Linked DNA regions of Oreochromis niloticus. The protein of the gene in region 2 purifies or fractionates together with the protein of the main gene of each other region. This does not show direct contact. Links are inferred from orthologs where the notes say so. Each region holds a gene or a part of one and is shown on either strand. Other genes may lie near its edges. The genes, in order: ubl4a and get3.

Evidence for each region.
Region 1: the proteins of get3 (region 2) and ubl4a purify together in Homo sapiens (affinity purification with mass spectrometry; 4 studies listed by BioGRID and IntAct, with this or other methods). This does not show direct contact. The link is inferred for Oreochromis niloticus from reciprocal best matches to the Homo sapiens genes GET3 and UBL4A.

What each region holds. Positions count from the first base shown.
Region 1 is NC_031977.2:13,690,903-13,699,881, reverse strand, and holds the start of ubl4a (ubiquitin-like protein 4A), read left to right. Parts: upstream 1-5,396; 5' UTR 5,397-5,559; coding exon 5,560-5,607; intron 5,608-7,344; coding exon 7,345-7,450; intron 7,451-7,556; coding exon 7,557-7,795; intron 7,796-8,646; coding exon 8,647-8,754; 3' UTR 8,755-8,979. Other genes in the region: prkg1l (cGMP-dependent protein kinase 1), read right to left, coding at 54-119, 265-359, 538-615, 738-858, 1,019-1,124, 2,448-2,561, 2,934-3,100, 3,310-3,424 and 1 more. UniProt on the Homo sapiens protein: As part of a cytosolic protein quality control complex, the BAG6/BAT3 complex, maintains misfolded and hydrophobic patches-containing proteins in a soluble state and participates in their proper delivery to the endoplasmic reticulum or alternatively can promote their sorting to the proteasome where they undergo degradation.
Region 2 is NC_031971.2:34,349,373-34,358,131, forward strand, and holds the start of get3 (ATPase GET3), read right to left. Parts: upstream 3,755-8,759; 5' UTR 3,724-3,754; coding exon 3,581-3,723; intron 2,659-3,580; coding exon 2,511-2,658; intron 2,058-2,510; coding exon 1,909-2,057; intron 1,814-1,908; coding exon 1,663-1,813; intron 1,492-1,662; coding exon 1,384-1,491; intron 426-1,383; coding exon 228-425; intron 138-227; coding exon 9-137; 3' UTR 1-8. Other genes in the region: noggin-2-like, read right to left, coding at 4,947-5,798; target of Myb protein 1, read right to left, coding at 6,660-6,805, 6,892-6,931, 7,032-7,091, 7,180-7,270.

The DNA.
Region 1 (8,979 bases), on a different chromosome or scaffold from region 2:
TAGATTAAGCACATTTTCAAATCAGAGAGCAGTGTGACAGCTGAATCACTTACTCTCTGTCTATTACCAGGCACGTAACTTCTCCAGCAGCTATCACACTCACAGTCCGAATGTCCTCTCTGAAGACAAGCAAGTATTACAAAATAAAACTATCAATAAGACTATCAATATACATATATATATATATATATGAATGTGCTTTTTCATTATATGTGCAGAAATTTCTTTACAGCATCATCTGAAGGAGCTTTTTTTCCTTCTTACCCCCACAGAGCCTTTTCTCCAAACCACTGTCTCTCAGAGAGCTTAGAAAGAACTACCTGTTCTTCCTGCTCTTGCCCCTTTTCAGTCACTTTCACCTGTCAAATGTAATGAAAAAAGAGGTAATGGTGATGAGCGCAACGCACCAAAGTAAATTATCACCATCATAAAGTCATTTCCGCCACTGCTTTGACATTTCTGTCATCCAGGCTGTAAATCTTTTCCTCAGAAAGCCCCCCTTGATCTGCGCAGCAGGATGAGAGCAGAAAACTTTACCTGGCCTTTGCTGATGATATAAAAAGTGTCTCCTGTGGCCCCTTGTCGAATGATGTAGTCGCCGTCGGCGTAATGTGTCTGTGGAAGACAAATGAAAACCGACAGCGGTGTGACCAGTGGAAAAACATCAATAAAACAAAGAAGGGTTCATCCAGAGAGCTTTCCTTGCACTTATACAGGCACTGCATGTAAACATTCACCTCATCCATTAGCTGGATACACCAGTGTGCTTCACAGTTAAATAACTTCAAGTGTACCTCTTCCATGAGATCCGACATTTTCATGAGGACATCTGCTGGGAGCGACTGGAGGAAGGGAATGCTGCACACAGATACAAACAAAAAGCACTGGATATCATCCGCAATAGCTCATGTAGGTGCATGAGGACAATGAGCAGATACCGTGCTCAGAGGTAAAAGCCTACATGGCCCATCAAAGCAGCTTTTTGGAGCTGCTTCATGTGCATCAGTCTGATTTTCACCTGCTAAGAAGCTCCACTGAATGGGAAAGGTGCTTGAGACCACTCTGCATGAGTATGGTCTGGTAGCTGTTGCGATCCACAACCCACAGCCTGCTGTCCGTTCGTGCTGCAGATCAAAAGACAGAGACAGAGGAAGACGCTGTGTCAGTGACAGACGAGTGAAAGCACTATCGAGACTCACGCTGCCTGTGATGGATGTGGACGTGCAGCCAGTAAGTAGGCCAGGATTTCATTAGAAATGCTTACCGTGTATCGTAAAAACTAAAAATACTTGTTTTCCTCACAGAGGTCAGTAGATATCAATCAAATCTAATTTCCTTCAGCCATCATCACCATCTTTCTTTGTAATAGAGCTTGAAAGAGAGTGTCGTTAATTAATAATGACCAGTATTGATTGATTCACTGAACCTTCCTGCAAACGGAAGACGACGTCCCCTCCAGACAGTCTAATAAGATCGAGCATCTGATTATTGCGGTGCAGTCCTTATCTCAGTTCCCCGTTTTTGGATACAAACCAAACTTTGTCGCTTTACCATCGTATGACACACGGCGTACAGCCATTGGTCCTTAATTCAATCTCCTACGCCAGGTATGATGGGAAGAAAAGTAATTTCAGGTCAGGAAGGAGATAAATGCAACAGGCCTTAAATGGATTGAAAAAAAGAGGGTACATGGAACAAGGGGGAGCAGCGAGTTTTGTTACCAGAGAGCAGACAAATGTAGAACAGTGAATTGGAAAGGCTGCCTGGTTACAGGATAACGAAAGGAGTTTTTAAAAAAAGGGGAGGAATGGGATGCTTTTGGGACCAAACAAGACAAAACAGACAGATTTTTCAATTTAAACTGATCCGGCCATTTTCACAGCCTATTTATTTGTGAAACCAGGTCAGACACACGCAGCCACGACTGAAAAGGTTTTCCCACAGGACTCTGTGATCGGATCCTCAAAGGAAATGATAGCACAGTTTCTGCTTTTAAGAGGGAAAAAAAATCATGTTTTTACACCAGAAAAGCACAGATGAGAGGTTGTAACGCAGCGGTCATTGAATCGAGATCGTTTACAAGAAGATTATTTTTAAATGTTTGCAAGATGCTGAGATGCTGGATTGTAGGGAGGAGATGTGGCGCTTCAGGCAGCCGTGTTAAGCGGAAAAAGCCGAGGATGCTTTAAATTCCTCACATCCGTTAGAAAGCCATGCGAAGCTGTTGTAAGATCTCAGAGGGTCTTTTGATTTTGAATTCAACAGGCATCTTTTGTCCGAGGCCACAGCCAGAAATCTTACCGCTTGCGAAATTCGCTTAAACTAGAATTATTTATATCCTCGCCGAATCAAAGTTAATCACAGAGAAATTCTTCAGGTTGACAGCTCTCCTGTGACATCTGAGCGCAATTATAAAATAAGGAAGCCGATGCAAAGCTTTGATTTACCTGACACAGAGTAGGTGTGGGTGCAGTTGTAAAGGAGCGCTAGCTCTCCAAACAAGTCTTCTGGTTCAACTGTGAGCAGCTTCAGTCCATCTTTCATCATTTCCAGCCTCCCTTCTGCGAATAAACAAACACTGGGTGAAGGACGACGCAGAGAAATGCGTTTTATGTCAGATAATGTACAGACTGAGAGAGATGTACAGCACAAACAACAGAAAGGCAAGGAGACCGGAGATAAACAGCCGCTCCGTCTCCTCGGGCTCAAGCTGACATTTCAACCCAAACTAGAAATGTGTTGCTCCACATGCTGTCACTTTATTGCACTTCTATTTGCTTCTATTTATCAGTACAAAAATTTTAATATAAAGATATGATCAAGCTCATCATTTAATCAGTCTGTCCTTAAGCATCTGACATCTCAAGGAAGCCTTAATAAATATCCTCGTGTGTGATTAATAGCGGCCATTGCAAGAGGAAAAAAGGATTTACCTTCCAAAACGTAAGCCTGAGCCCCAGCGGTCCCCTCCTGAATAACATAGCAGCCTTGATTGATGGTGGTGGAATGCATGCAGGCGATGATGGCTCTGATTTCTCCTTCATCAAGGTGCTTCAGCAAGTCGTTTCTCAGAAATGATGCCCGAATCAGCCTCTGGGACCTGAGGACATGAGGAAACGATATGAAATTTGCACGTGAGGATGAGTTATTAAACAGTGTCAAATACTTGAGCGTCTGACAATGAATAAAAAAAAAGCATTGGTTCATCATGAGTCATGCAGTCAGCAGTCAGTGAGCCTTGAACATGCATGAGTGTGATTTTTCAATCTGAGCAGGTGTAGCTCTGAAGGGAACACTGTGTGCTCTTACTCGTGGCTTTTGTCACAGCTTCTCTGTGAAACCAAGGCGAGAGTCACTGGGTCCAGAGTGAGGGGCTCACAAATCACCGTCTGCCTTCTGGGTCTCTTGTTGTCATCAGTTTGACCTGAGGTAGAAGCAAAAAAATAAAGAATAAAAAAGTCAAGGAAATCAAATAGAACTCTATATCAGTCCTAATAAGCTCTGCAATTATTAAAACAGCACAAAACTGCCTACATGCACTGACTGCAGAGGCTCCTGGGAGGGAGACAGTGGTTCTGTAGCGGTCTAGTTCTTCCTGCAGCCTCCGGATGAGTTCATCCTTCGTGTCCAGCTCAAGCTCCAGCTCATCTATCAGCGTGTCCCTCTGGCGAAGCTCCTCAATCTTTAGTTGCAAGGCAAACTGGAGGTCCCGAAGTGTACCCATCACCTGCAAACACTAGCAGACTTCATCTATGCTTTTGACAAAGAGCCATCCATAGAGTATATACATTCCTACAGCTGCTATGCAGCGTGGATCTATCTACAACAAACTTGACCTCTGTATGATTTTGATCTACACCTCTCTTTATTATTTAGCTAATCTGTCCAGGTGTAATGGCTTCTACCTGGATAAGAGCATAGATCCACCTGTTTTGGGCTTCTTGTACATTTTCACACCTATACGAGTGTTCATATGTTTACGAGCACATTAATGTTCACTGCAAATGAGTCACAGGTAAGGTATAGCCCCACATTGCAAGCATTAGCTCTAGTCTGTTGTTCTGCATCTCTATACATAATTCAAGCCACATTAAGAGAAAATACAAAGAAAGTAGAAATGAAATGCTTACACAGTAAATGTTAGTACAAACTTCCTACTGAGTCCCACACAAAAGTCCTAACAGGAATAAAAACATGAAAATAACATTGGATTTTCCATGTGACTGTTAGGCGTGGCTGATGCTTTCACGATGATTTTTTCTGTTTTTTTAATCTTTGCTGATTTTAGCTGTCATGTTTCTAATTGACTGTCTGTTAGCACAGATGAGGCTGTATCCGCAAACTGTATTAATGCTGTGCGATATTTCACACCATAAACAAACAAACAAACAAATGAACACAAACATCACTTACCACACGCAGCCTGTATGGCGTTATGGGGTCTATTTCACCGGCGTGTTTTGGCCTGGTTTGGCTGCAGACTGTTCACTCGACAGGTGCACATCCCGTCTGTAAGTGCCCAGCTGAAGGATGCTCTTCTTTCTTGCTCGCGGCTGGCCGGGGCTGGGCACAGACAGCAGGCAATCACATGACCCACACGGTGGAAACCATGCGGGGAGGGTGAGATGAGAAACGTGTGGATCGGATCCCATCTGGGTCACGGGGTCCTCAGGGTGTTCCGGAGCCTTGGGAGTAGGTGGGGATCCGGCAAACTGTGCAATGCATGTTAATGATTGTATGCCCAACCGATCATGAAGCAGGTTAAAGGCTGGCCGTGTGCACCGATCAAAGATTTATTCGTTTTCTCTCCATAGCAGCTGTGCAGCCATCCAAATATAATTTTACCTTATATCATGTTTTTTTTTCTCTCAGTAAAAGGCTTGATATGTATTTGATGTAGGTGCGTAAAGTAACAAAATAAATGTTCCTCTGCAATTGGACGGCAAGTGGTTTTCCGATAACAACAGTTTCAAACTACATGTGATGATAAGTTATGGTAACAGCTCTATAATGTTGCAATAATGTTAGCCATTAATAGGAAAATCAGTAATAAGTTACTGCGTTCATCACGACACTAGTAAAAACACGCTAGAGCCATGCAGCGTTAGTCCACTTTATTTAAACACAATTTCCGTGCGTGTTATTTAAACACACACAAAAATGAAAAAATGAAGAAAAAAAACTAGCCCTAGTGTACCATTGTTGATAATATTACTAATAGCCGCGTTATAAGTCAAATCTGTAAGCCTTTTTTTGAGTTTTCCCATCCTTTTTTTTCCTTTTAATATTCAACTGCGGCATAATTAGGAGAAAATAAATGGATTATTCTTTGTTTTTGTTGTTATGACACTTTCCTCTGAGGGCTGGCGTAGCTGCCATGCCACACTCCGGCCAGCGCGCGGCGGTAGTGGGATGCGGGAGAAGAAAATGGGCCGTTGGCAAGCAAAGAATCGCGAGCTGATAAAGTAGCTGTACTGTGAAGCAGCACACTCCGAGACGTTTTGTTACTTCATCTTTATTGTTGTGTAATTTTTTTGTTTTTTTAAAGCATATTCAAAAATGATCCTCACGGTGAAACCGCTTCAAGGAAAAGAGTGCAGCGTACAGGTGAGTGAAGTACCGCTGCGCTAGCTCACCGCCTCATGCTAACTGCGATAGCAGCTAGTAGTTTAGTCGGGCCAGCATTGGCATGTCACATGCCGAGCTACCTTCAGAAAAACGGCCACACATATGTTTCTTTTAAAATAATAAAATAGCCTGTCAAAAATACTGGGATTCAGTGCTACACACTGTAGCCTAAACTAGTCGGTTGTATGGGCATGTCTCCGCAGAGTCATTAATTTGGCTGGCGTGCTAGCTAAATCCTGGATAAGATGTTGCATACAATCTTCCCTGACAACAGCTGACTAGTAGCATTTGAAGTCGGTCTTTGTGGTTTCGGGGAAAGAAAAAAAAGGGAAGTCCTATCTGAGGGAAACAGCTTTTGGTGCAGTAAGACCAATATAGCTGTCAGTTAGCCTTAGCCACAGTCTGTCTCTCACAAAGCTAATTTTTTTTTAAATATTATAAAGCACAAACTGGACCTTTACTTGGAGACATAAGCAAAGGCCCCTGAATTAAAGAGAATATTAGCGTGTGGCAGCCACTATTTTAACATGACCAGGTTTTAAGGAAATATGCAGGCAGTCAAAAGCATTTTATTACGTGGGGAAGTATTTCCCCAAGTGGGGAAGTATTTCTAAAATCGTTTAAAAATTCTGTGTTCAGCAGAGAAGTGGTTCCATGCACAACATCTGTGCCATAACAGTGATTACAGCCATTTCGTTTAAAATGTTAGCAAGAGTACACTTTTTTTTTTTTTTTTTGAGAAATGGGGCTCTACAAATGCCAGTACAAACCGGGAATGTCACTTGTACATATATTTAACATTAATATCTGGATAATGTAAAGGTAGGAGTTATTTGAGAAAGATTTTTAAATGATAACTTAATTTATCAAGGAACAAACTTTCCAAAGCTCACCCAGTGTGAAAAAGGAATTGCCCCCTAAACCGAATAATTGGTTGTGCCACACCTGGCAGCAAGAACTGCAATCAAACTGGCAATGTGACTTTCATGTTGCTGTGGAGGGAATCTTGGTCCACTGTCCTTTACAATATTGTCCTAACTCAGCCTCATTGCAGGGTTTTCCAGTTTCAGTGTACTGTTAAAAGTCATCCCGAAATATTTTAATTGAATTTAAGTCTGGACTTTGACAAGGGAACTCTAAAACTTTTATGTTAGTTATTGAGCCATTCAAGGGCAGATTGCTGCTGTGTTTTTGGTCACTATCCTGTTGCATAACCCAAGGGCATTTGAGTGTTAGAGGACAAACTAGTGGCTCCTGAAGGATGGAGCAGAATTCATGGTTCCATGAATTACAGGAAGTCTTCCAGGTCCCGAAACAGCAAAGCAGCCCTACACCATCACACTACCTCCACTGTGTTTGACTGCTGGTGTGATGTTCTTTTTATGAAATGCTGTTAGTTTTACACCAGATGTAACACAGAACTCAAACTCTTCAAAAAGTCCAGATTTTTCTTGTCAGTCTAAAAAATATTTCCAAAAGGTTCTGGGGATCATCAAGATGCTTTTTGGCAAATGTGAGACAGGCCTTTGTGTGTGTGCGTGTGTGTGTTGTTTTGTTCCAAATATGCCAAAAAACAAGAAATCAAGAATAGGGCAATTACTCTTTTACAGCACTGTGTGCTGTGTAATTTAAACACTGTTCAGCTGCACAGACAGAAAACAGTGTCATGCTCTTAAATTACACATGTACTACATGATTGGGTTGTTTTTCTTCCAGGTGACTGAAGACGAAAAGGTCTCCACAGTGAAGGAGCTTGTGTCTGAACGTCTCAACATACCAGCAAACCAGCAACGGTTACTCTACAAAGGGAAAGCTCTCGCAGGTAGATGTGCCAACAGCGACATGTTTGATGGCAGCATTTGTTAATACTTTTATGCATGCGTCATATGTAAATTTTTAATGCAACACATTGTAACACTCTCCCTCAGATGAACACAGACTGAGTGATTACTCTATTGGTCCTGAGGCTAAATTGAATCTGGTAATCCGTCCCATGGGAGAGAGGACTGCAGCTTCAGGAACAGCAGCACCAGGCGGTGGTGGTAGCTGTAGCAGCACCAGCAGCGGAAGCAGCACACATGGAGGAGTGTGGCAGACCGTCTCCACTATACTTGCTAGACACTTTAGTCCGGCAGATGCAGCAAAAGTTCATGAACAGCTTATTAAGGTATTTAAATGCAGCGTCATTTTTTTTTTTTTTTCTTCAGACAAGTTGACAGGTGCGGATATTTAATAAATCTAAAATATTAAAGTTGAAAGGGCCAGTTATTGATGATTTATGAACATGTAGTGCTAATGGTGAGATACTGATTTAATTTCTGGAAATCTATTATTAATAATTACTACAATATTTGTATAATGCTTTTATCTTTTAATGAGAACTGTTTTTACTGTAGAAAGTGGGTGTACTGACAGCTCTTGAGTTTGTTAGTTGTTCAGCTCCTATCCATCCAACTGTGCTCACTAATTAGAAGCTACATTCAGCTGCTCCCTCATTCACGAGGCGTTGCCACAGCAGGTAGCTCTGCATGCCTTCCCAACGCAACCCCAAAGGGATTCATGTCTCCTCCTTTCGCTTGTTAGGCAAATATGTAAACCACTAAACTATGGAGCCACTAATTATGCTGGGCTAAATAATTAATTGAACAACCCAGACCAGTAGTAGCCAGACGTGTGTGTGTGTGTATTTGAAGGGTTGGGGGGGGGATGAAGCAAAATCTGGTTTGGCCTTTTGCTGCCAAATTCTGTTGTTATCCTGAAATTGTTGAATTATTTGCGTGCAAACAGCATTACAAAACAAACTGCCAAAAGTGCAAATTAGCTTACCTCCACTTACGTCCACACTTTTTGGACTTAACAAACTCCTTTTAAAAGCAACAAAAATGTTTCTGAAGGTCATGCCTCCAGTCCTCCATGCATTATTTCTCAGCCAGAACGTGTTGTAAATAAATGAACTGAAATGTTTTTAACCTGCTGTTTTTCAATATGTTTTTTTTTTGCTTTCTTTCTTTTCTCAAGGACTATGAACGTTCCCTTCGACAGCTTAGCCTCGATGACATTGAGCGCTTAGCGGGGAGGTTGCTTCATCCGGAGGGCGAGGGCATGGACACCTCATACATGGACTAAGAATGCATAGCTTGAAGCTGATTTTTTCCGATTGTTGTTTGAGAGACGCTCAGTGCTTTGAGATGCATACGGTGTTTAGAGTGTTAGGCTGTGGAAAATACAATGCCATTTTTCTTACAGAGAGCCCCAGGGTGAGCATGGATAACACTGACTGTTTGTCTCAGCAATAGGGCTTTCTTATCTTGGATGAGAAAACTTGGCATCTTGGAATTGGCCCTTGTCATT
Region 2 (8,759 bases):
GCAGGACATCACTTGTTTGGGGGTTTGTAGGGTTCCAGAAGTTGCTTAGAGAACGTGTTGACCTTGTCGGCACCTCGAACTTCATGGGGGAGTAGAGGTAACTTGACTATGTGGAAATCCTCGTAAAGATCTTCCATCTGTGGGCAGAAGACAAACCACCAATAAAGTTGTTTGACTTTGAACTGTAAATATTGTAAATAAACTTTCCCATTTCTCCTGATTCATACCTGGTCTAAATATTTCGACTGAATTTTATGGCGGGCTTCACACATTTTACACGGCCTGTCTGCATCAGGAAAAACGAGCTGGTTGACAATGATGTTGTGCGTGTCGATGCGGCACTTAGCCAGTTCCTGAATCAGCCGCTCTGTCTCATAAAGTGACAGAAATTCAGCAATACACACACAGATGAAGGTGGTCTGCTCCTGAAGGGTGAGAGGAAGGTGCGTTACAACACACATACATAAAAACCATTAATATGACAAGATGAAGCTCAAATTTGCTCCAAATACTGAATTCGTTTTTTATATTAAATATTTTGTCTAAACAGGCTGATGAGTTCCCATCAAAGAACAAAATCAAAAGGAATAACAAAATCTAAAGCAATCAAGTAAAACAGACCAGCTACTAGGGCTCAACAGGGGTGGAGTTACAACTTCAAAAAAAATAATAAAAAGGTGAAACTGTTGTCGAAACTTCTTTTGTCCTAATGACAAAATAGTATAAAGAGGGCTTGATAAGAGGGATACATGCATGTGCAACAGGCTGCTGTGCACAGTGAGTCACTCCAAAAACTCTTTTGTATCCACACACACTATTGACACTCGAACCAGCTACAATTTCTTCTGTCATCAGATAAGACTTGTTACAGAGGGTGTGCATGTAGCTACCACAGCACCTCATTAGAACAGTATATGACTGAAGTGTAGTGTGAAAAGGCTTATTCATCATGGGTGGGTGGAGACTATAACCATTAAAGCAATTACATCTTTAATTGACAATGATGTTGCATCTGTTTCATCTGTACAATACTGCCAAAATTAGGAACTGGCTGAAGAGAAAAAAGGAAAAAAAAAAGAAAAAAAAAACCAACCAGGCATCATTATTATTTTTAGGCTAGACGACTGTAATTTTCTTTTATCAAGTTGTTCTAAAAGCTCTCTGAAAAGCTTTCAGTTGACCCCAAATGTGAGAGTACTAGAAAACACATATTTTTATATACATAATAAAATCAGAGAGGAGCACCCTCCCTTAACCTGATCTCCACCAGAGAGGGCTCTTCCTGTTAAAAGGCAGTGAATTCTCCCCTCAATCATCAAATCAATAGTAAGCTAGTACTATATAAATCTCAAAGTTGTATAAGAATATACAAATGTGACTTACAGGGTCTTTGAACTGCTCACTAACTGAGCGAATGACTGGCAGGGTTTCTTCAAGCTTTGAGGCCAGCTGGTCTGCGTTCATATCACCCAGACCAAGCATATTACACATCTAGAAACAGCAAAAGAGATGGACAGTGTGAGTGAAAACAAGAGAAGAGAGAAAGAGAAAACACTGGAGAAAGAGAAAGGCCAACAAAGTGCATATATTTAATCAGAGATCATATTTTATGTGCAGAATCCTGAAAATGGTTTGAACTGATTTGCTCATCTCAGCACCCACCTGAGAGATGAAAGGGCTAATCTGGTTCTTGATCTGCATGAGGCGGCCTAGACCTCGCTCCACTATGGTGGGAAAGTTAAGCAGTCGCAGTGTGTGGCCAGTAGGGGCAGTGTCAAAGACCACCACTGAGAAGTTCATTCCCTTCACTAATCTGAGATACAGGCAAACAACAGTGGTAAGTATAACACCCACTAACTGTCCTTAAAACTTCAGACATGCTGCAGGAAAACTCAAATACAAAACTACCTCATGACCTCTGCATAGCTCATAGCCTCATCGATGCCGGGGAAGGCGCTCATGGCTTCCTGCATCATCTTCTTGCCCATGCTGAGCATGTTGTCCTCCTCGAAGAACTCATCAGGCAGCTCTGCCACACCCAGGCTCGGGTCAATCTCCTGTATACACATGCCCAAATTCTAAGATCAGCACACTTCAAATAGATTGCAAATGTTTTTATGCCCTCCAGTGATTGAGTTTGTTACACAATGGTGCTTGTGAGACTCACATGTGGAACTGGCTAGCCTCATGACTCTGAAAAGATGGTGATCTCATGCACTAAATGTTATTTTCCAAAAACAGAATGAACAAACCCTCTGTGCTTTTTAAACTCTGTCTAAACGTTAGACTTTAATATGATGCAAGGATGAAAATGTGGATAAGAAAATCCTTGTACTGTGGATGCTTGCTCATTGTCGTTTCAGAAACTTCATCAATGTTATTAATATTATTAATAACATGCTTCTCAAAAAATATATATTTGCAAACATTTGAGTTCAATTTTTAATCTCATCAAGCAACACCTCTCACTTGTAACCTTTAATAGCTGTTAAGTGTACACATATACTCACCATTGCAAAGAGGTTGTCATAGCCCTTAACCTTAGTGGGTACCTTTGAGAACTTCTGGTCAAAAGCATCAGAGATGTTATGGGCAGGATCTGTGGAAATGATGAGCACACTCTCCCGAACAGCCGCCAGCTGGACAGCCAAACTACAGCTGTCAGAAGGACATGGAAAGAGGACAGGTTTATGTTTAAAGAGCCTGGAGCCTGTTAAGATTATTTCGTGCCCAATGTAAGCATGTAAGAAATGCTGTGCAACTGACTAACAATGCGATCCGCAACGTTTTTAATTCTTAATCGTTTATGTGCATGCATGCCGTGTAAAGCACAAAGTAAAAATCTAATTCATTTCCACTTTGTGAACATTACCTTACCCCAGTTACTTTGATGAACACAACTTTTGCATGCAATTATATTCCAAATGAAACACAGTAGATACTGTAACTTAAGTGATAGCGGATGCGACAGTGGTTAATCTATGTGCAATATTATCGTGGCTGCTCTGGTGTAATGTACATATTTGTTTGACACGTTAATTAGATTTTTGTTGGTTATCTTGTTTGAAATAAGTCCACTGCAGACAGACTAGATCCACGTTCATTTGGAATCGTATTTATTCATATTTTTTTTCTTCTTGTTATGAATAAAGATATGATAATAAGGGCTTGACAGCCTAACTCTGGAGTCTCCTTTAACTCTGGGTGAAGTAAAAGAACTGATAATATCAGCAGCGGGTTATTGATGGTGGCTTATACGGTGATTACTGAAGGTGTTGAGAAAGTCGTGAATCCATGTGTCAGCTGCTAACGTTAGCTGCTGACTGCGCTTCACAGCTACCAAACTGCCCGGCGAAAGGACTCCTTACTCAAATCTAAAACATAACAGTCACTTTTCTTTGATGCCAGCGCGTATTTAGGTAGAAATTTAACACCAGTCTAATCTCGCCGTGGGAAAAATTACCCACGCAATTCATTTTCGGACAATGATCCACGTCAACTTATGGTAACGGCTAATGCTAGCCAGCCGCTCAAACCGAGTCAGTATCCGGAGGCAATTTAGCATTTTTAATGAACTTACCTACATGTCGTTTTACCAACGCCACCCTTCCCACCCACAAATATCCATTTCAAAGATTTCTGCTCGATGATATTCTTCAGAGTTGGTTCTAACGGCTCCACATCGGGCGCATCTTCAAATTCGTCTTCCACCAAAGCTGCCATCTTGTATGTGTACAGTCAGCGACGTACAGCTCAGGAGTTACGCAAAGACGTATCCACAGTTGATGCATTCACTGCTCCTCGGAGTTTTGACCCACGCAAGGTTTCACACTGCTGCAGGGTGGGTTGTACATTTGGTAGTTTTAATACTGAAGACTACGGAAGCGTAGAGCTGCCACCCAGGCAAAAGAAAAAAAGAAGTATATCACGTTATAATGTGAAAAGTTTATTGTTCTAACAAGATACTTTTCACATTTGTACAATATACTATCATGTTTGTACAATATACTTTTGACGTTTGAACAATATAATATCACGTTATTACAATATGCATAATTATCACGTTCGTACAATATAAATATCACGTTCGTACAATATAAATATATTGTACGAACAATATAAATATATTGTACGAACGTGATATTTATGCATATTGTAATAACGTGATATTATATTGTTCAAACGTGAAAAGTATATTGTACAAACATGATAGTATATTGTACAAACATGAAAAGTATCTTGTTAGAACAATAAACTTTTCACGTTATAACGTGATATACTTCTATTTTTCTTTTGCCTGGGTGGCAGCTCTACGCTTCCGTAGAAGACACTATTAATTTTTGACAGAAGAAGACAAGGAATCACATAGGTGCTGACACTTATATTTTATTCATATTATATTCATGCGCATGTGTACGTTAGAATAGTTTGCAAGGAAGTCAGCAAGAAACAGGTTTATGTAGATTTTTATTATTTAGAATGATTAGTATGTATCTTCAATTAATACTGTCAAGTATGATCAATCAATCAAACACAACAGTGAGTTACCAAAAACACTTTAATTTTTAATATTCCCTGTAAACAAAATTGTTTGATACTGTTTGAATATGAAATTGCAAAAATAGAGCGAAAAAGAAAAATTGGAAGAAACATGCACAATCCACGAATTTCCAATAAACCTGAATGTAGCACGAACTACACTAAACTCAGCGCCTTAGAAATTGCAGTTTACTGACGTAAAATATTTACTTAAATATTTATTAAACCAGTTTGTAATAAAAATGTTGAAAGTTTAGAGCAGAGAAAATGAAAGAGCAGGTAGCGGCATTGTCTTTGTAATTAAAAGTAGCCATGTTCGATCATTTCAACTATAACACTGAAAATCAACAAAATAATAAAAAACACAGTGTGCACAGAAAAAAGCCGGTCTGCAGTGATAAAAACATTCATTTACATGAACACATGCATGCAGTCACCACAGGATAAGGCACTTGTCTCCATAAACATCTTTTCCTTGCTTCATCTGTCCCCATCTGAGCACTGCCATCAGGCTTTTCACCTCTCAATTTTCTGGAGCCATCATCTCCATCTCTGATTTCAATGCAGTGCCAAGCCAGAATCTTTATGTGTGTTGTTTGAGCTCGCACGCAGTTCATCCCACTGGGAAAGGAGCAACTTTGCCCTCCATCTGGCCCTTCACAGTCAGTCTGCCGCAGCCACCGTGGCCAGAAGGTTGGGCCCAGATCAACCCACTGGTGCTGTAATTTGCATGTTGCTGAGTGCACCAGCCATTCTCTGACTGAACTGGCAGCATCTGATGGCAGAGAACTGAGGTCCAGTTCTGCAGCCTCCTTCTCTAGTTTCTGCTGATGTTTTGCTGAAGCCTTTCTCAGTTCTGGAGACACACACAGGTTAAATTTCTCTTTGAAGGTGGTGAGGGTGGGCCGAACTCCCTGGGGGGACTCAGAAGGGCGATCTACAGACATCCAAAATGGGTCAAACGAGGATCCCAGAAGACGCAGGAGGAGAGAAGGCCGGCGATGTCTGACTTTGGGCATGTAGTGGTAGTCGTCAGCATTTGTGATGAGGGTGTATGGACGGATTGGGTGTGAGAAGGATGGAAGACTGGCTCTCAGCTGATGAAATCGTGAATCCCAGCCTGTGCCATCCTGGTCTTGAGCAACAGTCACATTTGGATGCTGATTTTGAGTTGAAATGTTGGAAATAAAGGCCAGAGATACATCCAGGAGGAAAGATAGCAAAATCCAGCAGAGACAAATGGCAAACTGCCCACACATGGTCTTCAGATCTGGACTGTAGCTCAAAGAATGAAAAATTGCTCTTTTAGCTTTTCCTTTCAGCCGTTTAGTTATGCTTTCAATTCTAGGTGCTTCCGGGACTCTGTGTACCCAACACCAGACATCCTTGGGCTCTTAAACAACAACATACTGAATTCAGTGTCTTATCACACAAGCTGCACACTATTTAGTATGGCACACTTGAGTTCCCAAGACTCTGATATTTTGACTAACTTACAATCTGAATATAAGACAACTATGGTGAAATTTGGTTTAATGCAAGATGTCACGTACCAAAATTTCCACACTTCAACATCTTTTGCAAAGTGCCAACTTTAAATGGGTTATCAATGAAATATTCATTGGATAAAGTTGGTGTGTAAATCACTGGACTAAGGAGTAAAATATTTTAAAAAGAGACCACATGAAAAATGTTCATGGGGCAAATGTCCCATTTATTCTCATCTACACAAAATCAGCATTATGGATCAAAGGCACATTTGGTGTAATATCAAGTATATTTTCTGCATTATACTAAACATCCAGTTTTCTCCCATGTTATAATATTACATATAAATACAGTCACATAAAATTGTATAAGCACATAAAGATAACAAACAGCAGAATTAACGGAGAAATACAGCATTTATGAAACAAGCTGATTGATTAGCAGTTCTGTAGTGTCAGGTTTCATCTATGTGTGTGTGTGTGTGTGTGTGTGTGTGTGTGTGTGTGTGTGCGCGTGCGTGTGTCCTTTAGAAAAAACCCGACCTGGCACACTATACGTGTGAATGTAACCATATTTCAGTTTGTGATGCTCCTGTGTTGACCTCCATCCTGTCGTCTTGCTTATTCACACACTCAGAGTGAGAAAAGATGATCATGTGAGGTATCCTGTTGCTGGCTAGATTGTGGTGGCCGTCTGGGTGTGGAAGATGGCACATTGAGAATCGTCTGGCTGCTGTAGTCTGCCGCCTTCGCCCGATCCTCCAGGAACTTATCAAACTCTGAAATGGTGACACGTATAATTTAATATTTGTGTGTGTCTGAAAATATTATCATTACTCAAAAGAAGTGACAGGACCAGACATACCTTCACTGGAAACTCCCTCGCAAACTGAAGACTGCTCTTCCTGTTTTTACGTACACAAAGAATAAAGATTAAGTCATGCTGTTATCACCCTGTTTTTACTATACATATATATATATATATATATACACGTGTTCTCTTACCACATCAGAAGATAACCATTTGTCAACATCATTCTGCATAGAGTTTTTCGCTGGTGGAATCTAAAAGAAATTAAATGACCCTGAGTTTTATTTATTTGTAATATTAAAACAGGGATATTACTCCAAACAAAAACCAGCTGCATCTTACTGCTGCTGTACACCCTCCTCCTGTGACCTGCAGCCTGGTATCAAGAGCTCCAGCCAGGCCCTCCACAGCTCCTGGATCTTCATACCTAACACTGAACACACACAACCACACACAGATCAGGCATATACAGTACATAAAAAATACACTCAGACACTTTGTTAGGTACACCTGTTCAACTGCTCGTTATTGTAAATGTCTAAATGTTTCTGGCAGAGACTGAGGTCCTTCAACATCTGCCAGAAAATGCTCAGGATTTTCTATGAGTCTGTTGTGGCCAGTGCAATCCTCTATGCTGTTCCATGCTGGGGGAGCAGGCTGAGGGTCGCAGATGCCAACAGACTCGATAAACTGATCCGTAAGGCCAGTAATGTTGTGGGGATGGAGCTGGACTCACTTAAGGTGGTGTCGGAGAGGCGGATGTTGTCCAAGATAAAGACAATGTTGGATGACACCTCCCACCCACTCCATGACATGCTGGTCAGTCACAGGAGCACGTTCAGTGAGAGACTGAGATTACCGAAAAGCACCACTGAACGACACAGGAAATCATTCCTGCCTGTGGCCATCTCCCTGTACAACTCATCCACTTAACACACTGTTTACTGCAATAGCTACACCCTTTTTGCACATGTTCTTCCTTTTTCAGCTATTTATTAATAAGTGACTTTTATGTATATATATGTATGTATATATTGTGCTATTCTTACTTAGTGTATTGTCTGTCTTTGTTACTGTTTGTTTATACTGGAGCACTGTAACCAAAAATAATTTCTCCTAGGGATCAATAAAGTATTCTGATTCTGATTCTGATTAATCAGCCAATCACATAGCAGCAACCCAGTGCATTTACGCGTGTAGACAAGTGGGCTGAAGTTCAAACCGAGCATCAGAACGGTGGAGAAAGGGGACTTAAGTGACTTTAAACAATGCATGGCTGCTGGTACCAGATGGGCTCCTCTGAGTCAGGGGTTTCAAACTCGCGGCCCAGGGGCCGCTTGTGGCCCATGTCACCCCTGCTTGCGGCCTTAACTCGGTTTCCCTGAGTCTTTTCCCGTTTTGTAGTTGTGTGTCTTATTTTGAAAGAAATATATACATGTTACCATAGCGACCAGAGAGCATTAAGGGGCAGAGAGGAGGATGTTACTCTCAGTCTTGTTGGCGCATTTCAGGAGGACGCTGCTAATACAGTTACACAATTACACAGCGAATTCGCGTTTATTATTATATTTACAAAATACCACAGTTTTTGTCTTGGTCGTATCATTTTATTTTGTTGTATTTATCCGCGACACCTTAAAGGCCGGTCCGTGAAGATATTGTTTGACATTAAACCGGTCCATTGTGCAAAAAGGGTTGGGGACTGCTGCTATAAATCATTTACTAGTTGTTAAATATAAATGGTGACAAGGTCTGCTGGATTTCCTTATTGGAAAGGTCTTTGTTAAAGGCTCTGTGTTTCTAATAAATTGTATTTGCTTACAGTATGTCCAAAACTCAAAACTTAGCTTAAGGTTAAGAATTAAAAACAGCTCTGATAGGAAGATTGTAATTGTCAGGGCCTTAAAGTATTGTTTTGATAA